Linked DNA regions of Cricetulus griseus. The protein of the gene in region 1 binds, or shares a complex with, the protein of each later gene. Links are inferred from orthologs where the notes say so. Each region holds a gene or a part of one and is shown in the gene's direction. Other genes may lie near its edges.

What was found. The genes of interacting proteins can lie anywhere in the genome.
Region 2: the proteins of Rasip1 (region 1) and Rap1b are in contact, whole or in part, in a crystal structure (PDB 5KHO), measured with the Homo sapiens proteins. The link is inferred for Cricetulus griseus from reciprocal best matches to the Homo sapiens genes RASIP1 and RAP1B. Residues at the interface, in NP_060275.2 of Homo sapiens: Val147, Lys149, Ala156, Ser157, Gly158, Ala159, Asn160, Tyr161, Lys162, Ser163, Val164, Leu165, Glu181, Arg182; in NP_001010942.1 of Homo sapiens: Val24, Gln25, Asp33, Pro34, Thr35, Ile36, Glu37, Asp38, Ser39, Tyr40, Arg41, Glu54, Leu56, Phe64.

What each region holds. Positions count from the first base shown.
Region 1 is NC_048599.1:154,532,434-154,536,196, forward strand, and holds part of Rasip1 (ras-interacting protein 1), read left to right. Parts: intron 1-213; coding exon 214-569; intron 570-2,142; coding exon 2,143-2,796; intron 2,797-3,763. UniProt on the Homo sapiens protein: Required for the proper formation of vascular structures that develop via both vasculogenesis and angiogenesis.
Region 2 is NW_023276806.1:138,529,071-138,533,524, forward strand, and holds the start of Rap1b (ras-related protein Rap-1b), read left to right. Parts: upstream 1-1,465; 5' UTR 1,466-1,608; exon of another isoform or gene 1,609-1,617; intron 1,618-4,454. UniProt on the Homo sapiens protein: GTP-binding protein that possesses intrinsic GTPase activity. Contributes to the polarizing activity of KRIT1 and CDH5 in the establishment and maintenance of correct endothelial cell polarity and vascular lumen.

The sequences.
Region 1 (3,763 bases):
TGCTGGGGCCTAAGAACTGCTAGGAGACATTGTTAGGAAGGTGGCTGTTTCCAGTGTCCTGAGGACACTTGCACTGTTGGTGCCTAGACCAGTCCCTGACACACAGTAGTTGCTCCCTGAATGCTTGTTAAAAGAATGAATTTCTAAGCAGACAACTCCAAGTTGGAGGTCGAGAGCCAGGGAATAGCCTCTGTGATTTTCGTTTTTCTGTAGGCACAAATGCCCCATCTTGGCGAACACAGAAGAATCGGTCTCGGGCTGCATCTGGTGGGGCGGCTCTGGCCAGCCCAGGTCCAGGATCAGGATCAGGGACCCCCACTGGGTCCGGGGGCAAAGAGCGATCTGAAAATTTGTCCCTGCGTCGCAGTGTGTCTGAGCTGAGTCTGCAGGGGCGGAGGCGCCGGCAGCAAGAACGCAGGCAGCAGGCACTTAGCATGGCTCCTGGGGCAGCTGACACCCAGATGGTACCAACAGACCCTGGAGACTTCGACCAACTGACTCAGTGCCTCATTCAGGCACCCAGCAACCGTCCCTACTTCCTTCTGCTCCAGGGCTACCAGGATGCTCAGGTTAGCCCTATCTCCCCTAGTCATAGAGCCACACCAGACATGGTTGGTCAACAAACCACACTACCAAGAATGCCTTGGGTTGAGGCCTTTTCCATTATAGTGGCAGTTCCCAGTAGGAAATAGCTTGTTAGGAGCTGAGGTGGAGGTCAAATGGGATACCAAGGTCCCATTTGAAGGGATAGCAATGCTTCCTTTCATTCAGAGGGAAAAGAAAACATGTTCTTGGTCAAAGGCCAGTCTATTGTCAAAAGGACATCCCTCACAAACATCTGTTTCTTCAAGGAAAGTCTGTGTCCTACGTCAGAGAAATCTTTGGTACCTAGATCCTTGTTCTGGAAATGCAGCTGTCTTGATGGGAGAAATCAGCTAATTCATTTATAAAGGTTCACATGGGGACCATCTGACCCCTTGTTGATGGAAGCAGGAGACACTGAAACCTGTGTGCATTTTTAAAAAATATTTACTTATTTATTATGTATACAGTATTCTGTCTGCATGTATCCCTGCAGACCAGATCTCATTACAGATGGTTATGAGCCACCATGTGGTTGCTGGGAATTGAACTCAGGACCTCTGGAAGAGCAGTTGGTGCTCTTAACCTCTGAGCCATCTCTTCAGCCCCACCTGTATGCATTTTTATTTTTGCAGTATTGAGGATTGAACACAGGCCCTTGCCCCTGCTGGCAAGTGCTCTGAGCAAAGCCCCGAAGCCTTCACTAGTGGGTTCCAGGCAGGCAGTGTACTGCTGAACCATTTTAACTTAGAGACAGGAGCTTCAATGGTTGCCCAAGCTGGTTTTGAATTTATGACCCTCCTGCTCCAGCCTCCTGAGTAGTTGGCCTGACATACCTGTGCCATCCAGGCCATGTTTCTGTGTATTACATATTTGAGTGCCACTAGAACATGAGCAGTAGGTTTATTTTATAAAGGGGGTCAAATGGTGCATCCATTTCTAAAGATGGAGGTGAGACCACTTTTAGACCAGAGTCGTCTGCAATGTATCTTTCCATTCAGGATGAAATAAGAAGGGTGCCTCTTTGAAGCATATATAGACATTTCTAGAAGAGCCCACCATCTCTGTGGCAGTCTCTGGAGAGAGCTTCTATTAATGGACAGGGAGAATCTTTGAAGAGCTGCCAGTATTAAGCTGTCTCTCCAGCCCGTGAAGGGTCTTTTTTAAAGGGCAGAGCCAGGGCTAGAGAGAGCTCTACAGGTAAAAGCACCCACTGCTTTTTTAACTCCCATGTGGACTTAAAGACCAGAGTTATATCCCCGGAACCCACAAGGTGGAAGGAGAACACTAATTCACAAGTTATCCTTTGACATCTATGGGAACCCTGTGGCGCTGCTGCCCACTCCCCCTAAATTTTTACCCCCCAAAAGATGAAGCCACAGAGTGTCTTGGAAGAGGTTATTCATGTGCAAGGGATGCTCAAAGAGTCCTTTGAGAACCCAGGAAACCTCCCTTGAGGTTTTCATCACTTAGAGGAAGTGTGGTTGGAGCAAGAGTCTAGTGTGGTAAGGATGCTGTTTGGACACACGCATCGCCATAGCAACACCTACTTTCCTTTAGGACTTCGTGGTGTATGTGATGACCCGAGAGCAACACGTGTTCGGCCGAGGTGGGCCCTCATCGTCCCGCGGTGGGTCCCCAGCCCCATATGTGGACACCTTTCTCAACGCCCCAGACATACTGCCGCGACACTGCACAGTGCGCGCCGGCCCGGAGCCCCCGGCCATGGTGCGCCCTTCCCGGGGTGCCCCGGTAACGCACAATGGCTGCCTTCTACTGCGCGAGGCGGAGCTGCACCCTGGAGACCTGCTGGGCCTGGGAGAGCATTTCTTGTTTATGTACAAGGACCCCCGCGCCGGGGGCTCTGGGCCTGCTCGGCCACCTTGGCTGCCTTCGCGCCCCGGGGCCGCGCCACCCGGGCCAGGCTGGGCCTTTTCCTGTCGCCTGTGTGGCCGTGGCCTGCAGGAGCGCGGAGAGGCACTGGCCGCTTACCTGGACGGCCGCGAGCCGGTGCTGAGGTTCAGACCACGAGAGGAAGAGGCGCTGCTGGGCGAAATCGTGCGCGCTGCAGCTTCGGGCGCAGGAGACCTGCCCCCGCTCGGGCCTGCCACTCTGCTTGCGCTGTGTGTACAGCATTCGGCGAGGGAGCTGGAGCTGGGCCATCTGCCACGCCTGCTGGGCCGTCTGGCCCGGCTCATCAAAGAGGCCGTTTGGGTGAGCAGGACCCCTTGTCCCACAAGTCTCTCTGCTGCCCCTCTCTTTCCCATCAACAGCCACCCGCACCTGCTCCACAGGTCATTCCTGCCTTCCCCCATAAGTTTTCCATAGTGTCTCTCCTCCTTCAACCAGCTAGCGCTCTGTTCAACCCTTGAGCAAGAAGAAACTACTTTTTCCACGATGCTTTGCGATGGGCTGAGCTAATGGCGCTCATAGGGTTCTGGGAAACCGTGGGTTCCATCACTGTGCTTCAGGAAGTAACTACCTGTGATATTAGATTTTAGTGGTACTGGGGATGATCCTATGGCATCCAGGCTGGCGCTATTGCTGGGACCTCTCCTGGGTCTCTCACTGACGGATTCTGGGCAGGTGCCCTAGTGCTGAGCCTTGTCCTCAGATCCTCACTGAAGGATTGTAGACAAGCACTGCACTACTGAGCCACACCCCCAGCCCTCGTTTTAGATTTAATTTTGAGAAAAGGTTTCACTAAGTTGCCCAGACTGGCCTGGAACTTGAGGTCTTTCTGCCTCAGTCTCCCCTTTGGAGCTGTGGAATCATGGAGGAAAGCACTCTGGGATGTGGGGGAGGTGCCATTGGATGAGAACCCAGGAGAGGTCACTGTGGGAACTGCATTGGTCAGCCCTTTGGACCTGGCGCTTGGAGTAGTAACAACAGCGACAAACCAGGAAGGTCCGTCAGTGGGACCAACTCTGTAGAAGTGTCCAGAAGGAATTATCCAGAATGAGGGGGAAAATCTCACTGCATGAGAGTCAGAGGGGTCAGAAATTTTCTTGGGGGTAAGAAGAAACCCCATTTGAACAGAAGGGAAATGAAGTGAACAGGTTACTTGTGACTGTGCAGTTACAATGGGAGAGCCTTGCTGGGTGACACAGACCTGTCATTCCATCGACACAAGAGGCTGAGTCGAGGATTAGAAGTTCAAGGCCTGCCCAAGTTACAGAGA
Region 2 (4,454 bases), on another chromosome or scaffold:
TATACTAAAGGGGTGACTACCACACTCGAACACTTGTTAAAAAAGAACTGGGCCATTGAGCTATATCCCTACCTTTTTTTATTATTTTATTTTGAGAAGCTCACAAAACTGTCTAGGTTAGCTTTAATTTAGTCTGTGGCCGCGGCCAGCCTAGGATTTGCGATGAGCCACCTCCTGCTCAACCTGCAGAAAAGGTCATCTCTTACAGACCTGTGTCCTGAGGCTCAGCTACCATTCATTCCTATCCACTCACTTAACCCAGGTTACCTTAGTTGTTACTTCTTTAAAAAGAGTGAAATGACACTCTTCATTTCTCTTCCAGAGTTCATAAACTTCCAGACTAATTTGTGCAGCACCCAGCTAAATTGCTTATATTCCTCCGAGCTTTCCTCTCTTAAGTCTTTTTTTCCCACCAAAACCTTTTCAATAGTTGGCCTTAGTGGTTCACGCCTTTAATCCCAGCACTCCAGAGGTAGAGGCAGGCTTATCTCCTTGAGTTCAAAGGCAATCTGGTCTGCATAGCAAGTTCAGGGCCAGCCAGAACTATATGATGAGGTGAGACCCTGTTTCAAGAACAAAGAACAAGAAACAAACTCTTCAAAACAATGCTCTGATGGGGCTGTTCTCATATTAGAGGTGGTGGTGTGACAATATTCTAATGATCTAAGTGTACGTAAGTTCTTGTGCTCTTTCCGGAATCACATCACAGACTTACACCTATGAGTAATCTATAAAGTCACGAAGGCGCCCCAGGCGTGCACTTCAATGAACCACTTACTTTAATCCTATAAACAGTGTTAATTTAGGCACAGGGTCTAAGCATGCCTGGGAATCATCCATTTGTGAACTGCATCTGGTAGGGCAATTTGGACAGCTCGCCCTGGGCTCAAATACTTGTCAAATCCAAAGAAAGGCCAATTGAAAAATGAAAAAGCTGCTCTGGCCCGGCTCTTTCACTGCGCTCTGGGAGTGGGGACTGCGGCTTTCTCTCGGTTACTTCCCCAGCTACTTTCCCCAGCACAAAGGACCACGCAAACACCGATGACGGTCTGGGGGCGTTGGCGACAGAATTCCAGTGTGCACTCGGAAGCCCGGAGAAAGCTTCAGAGGGTTTCTAAGCCCTGAGCTCCCCGTTATCCGCTGGGGTCGAGAGGGATGCTCTCTGTTGAGGCTGACTCCAGATTCCGTCGGACAGCCAGCAGGCGGAGGCGAAGCTGATCGGAGCACCCGGGGGGCGCAGGCAGGGAGGGAAGGGGGACCAAGGGTAGAGCCAGCCGGCAAGAGGCCGGGCGAGGCCCAAGGCGAGGACCAGCCCGCTGAGGGCCCGCCCCCTCAGCCAAGGCCCCGCCCCTTCCCCGCCCCTTCCCGGGCTGTGCTCCTGCGCGCCCCGCCCGCGGGCGGAAGCTAGAACGAGGCTGAACGCCTGACGTCAAGGCGACACCGCCAAACCTCGCCCAGAGTCAGGCGTGGAAAGCAGCCTGAGCGGCGGCGGCGGCGGCGGCGGCGCGGCGGGCGGGCGGCGGCGGCAAAGACCGCCGTGGCGCCGGGAGCAGCGAGCCGAAGGGAACGCGAGCGACGGCGACGGCGGGACCCGTGACAGCGCGAGAGGTTGGCGGAGTGCGTGCGTGGCTGCGAGGCTGGAGGCGGGGGAGGGGGCCGGGCGAGTGAGCGAGCGAGCGAGCGCCGGCTGGAGGGGAGCGGTGGGGTGCGGCGCCGGGCCGGGCGGGGCAGCCGTAGAGAGCTGGGGGGAGCTCCCGCGGTGGCGATGGTGGCCCGGGCGCGCGGCAGGTGGCCGCGGGGGACGCCCGGCGTCCCCTCGGTTCCCCGGACGAGCTGCCTCGGAGCGGCCGGGGAGGAAGCTCAGCCGCGGCGGGGAGCAGCGCGCTTTGCGGAAGGGGTCAAATGTCTGAAATATGGCGGAGGAAGTGAGCGCCCGAGGAACCCCCACCCGCCGCCCGCGGCCGCTCCGCAGCCTTCCCCCGCCGCGCCCCGCTCCCCGCTCTCCCCGCCGCGGGGTGGGTGGAAGTTAGAGCGGAAACCAGAAAGTTGTCCTTTGCGGACACCCGGGGTTCTTCCCAGCTCCGGCCGGGCGGAGTAGCTTGAGGGGGGGGTGGACCACTCCCCGGCGCCCCGCGGGCTCGAGCCTGACAGCGAAAAAGTTTGCCCGGATCCGGGCTGGCTTGCTTCATTTGTTGCGGGAAGTGGCAGGAGGAAGGCAACGGAGCGAGCCCCACCTAGTCTGGCAGCCGCCACCGTGCAGCGAGAGAGAGAGGAAAAAAAATGTTAAAGGGGCCTTTCCCTTCGTCAGCAAGAGGAAATCTCCTTTTTCTCTTGCAGAGAGAAAAATCCAGGAAGTTTGCCCTCTTCTCCTTATTTCGCCATCTCGATATGTCTGATTCTGAAACTGACTTACCAGCGCCATGAATTCTCTTTGAAACTGCTCCCAGGGAACTGGGCCCTCCGGATTTTCCTTGGGGTGGAGGGGGAAGATGCCTTTCAGGAGAAAGATCTTCCCTTCAGAGTTTGAGCGGATGGGCTTGCTTTCCTTTCGCTTGCCCCCTCCCACCCCTCCAGTACTTTAGAAAGATATTTTGGCCCCGCGACTCCTGACTGGTGTGAATACAAGCACTTCTTTATTACAGTAATAGGAAAAATCACATTTTTACTGAGTTGAAAGTTGACATTACAGTGAAGGCTGAACTTTTAATATTTTAAAATTAATTGAGCCTCGTTGAATGTTTGCTTTGCTGGCAGTGGGTATTAACATATACCGAGTGTTTCTAACTTGTAAATTCTTTTTTTTTTTTTTTTCAGTTTTCTTTTGTATAATTAGAACGTTGTTGAGACTTGCCTAAAAGGAACTTATCTTAACAAGAAGTAAATTTATTTGAACGGAGAAATTCTTTTTATTTAAAGCTAACTTGGATTCTATGTATTAAGTCCTAATAGAGTCATGGGACTTTTAAAGGGCCCGAAAGGCTATTTAAATCATCTGGTCCCACCCTGTCATTTTATGGAGGAGAAAAGTGAGGCCTAGAATAAATAAGATAACCAGTTACCTGAGTCCTCTGACTTGTAAGGCAGTGATCTATCCCGAAGAGACAATCCACAGGAAGAAATGTGACATTTCAATGGTGAATTACTTCTTGCAAAAGATATCAGTCCTATTATTCTCTCCAAGACAGAGTGTCTTAGTTAGCTAAACAATGTGGAATAATCATTTCGGTAGTGTCATCCCCGGATTTTGGCTAGAGGAAGTTAATACTCTGGGGAGGAAATCATTCTAAAGACACAGAATCCCTAATGACTGACTTGTCTGAGCTTATCCATACTTTTAATCTCTGTGGTACATTATAGGCCCTTGTACTTTCTTGTTGACATTCACAGTAGTTTAATAACCTTATCTGTGGAAGCCACAAAGTAAATGGCTGAAGGACATATAGATAGCTATTTGGGTTTTAATGTGCCTGGTATCAGAACAACAGCTGAAGGGCCCAATGCTAAGCCGGCTAATTTTTTAGTGTGTGGTCTGGAGCACGGAAATGATGGCCAAGTTCTTTCCCCTTTTTCTGCCTAACTTATCTCTCTTCCTTTCAGTGGCTTGTATCACTTCCTGACTTGTGTTACAGTTGTGTATTTTTATCTAGTCTACTAAATTGTATGGTCCAAGGCCAAGATCTATTTCTTTTGTATGCCTCTGATGGCTAGTATGTTGCTGATCCACAGATCCTTGATGGAAGTTAAGTGCAGTTAAATGAAAACAGGAGGGTTGGAATTCTGTTGTATTCTTAGTTACTAGTACTTCACCTGGGCACTAGTGATATTTGGGACTTAAGTGTAGAGATGAATGGAAAATTCAGAGAAACTAAAGAAAACTGTAACTTTTTAAAAAGAATTACACATTTTCTTTGGGCTCACTCACTTTACAAATTGATCATTTTATCATTGGTTATTTTATAATGATTCCAGTATTTTCTTCGAACTATACAGAGAAAGTGAGTCTTCCCACCAGAGATCCTGTAGAGGCTATCAAGTTGAAATACAAAATCAAAATCTTTTTTTTTTTTTTTTTTTTTTTTAAGTGATGCTGGGCATGGTATTTTGCAACTGTAATCCCAGCAGTTAAGAGATCGAGGCAGGAAGATTTCGGGCTAGCCTGAACTAATGAAATGCTGTCTCTAAGTAAATACATAAATAACTTGAACTATGTTTATGAAGATCTTTTAAAGACTGAATGCCTATGTACAAATTGATAGCATGTAACTGACTACATACTGTTTTAAAGTGTAAAGCCTCTGATTGGGATAGACAGCCCATGTTCTGCTTTCTTTGCTTTTTGTTTAGGTACTTGATAAATACTTACTGAATGAAATTAACCTGTGAATGAGCACTTAGAGAACTTAGCTGATTTTACCTCCTCTCTCCCCCAAGGTATAGTTTACATTTGGCATTTT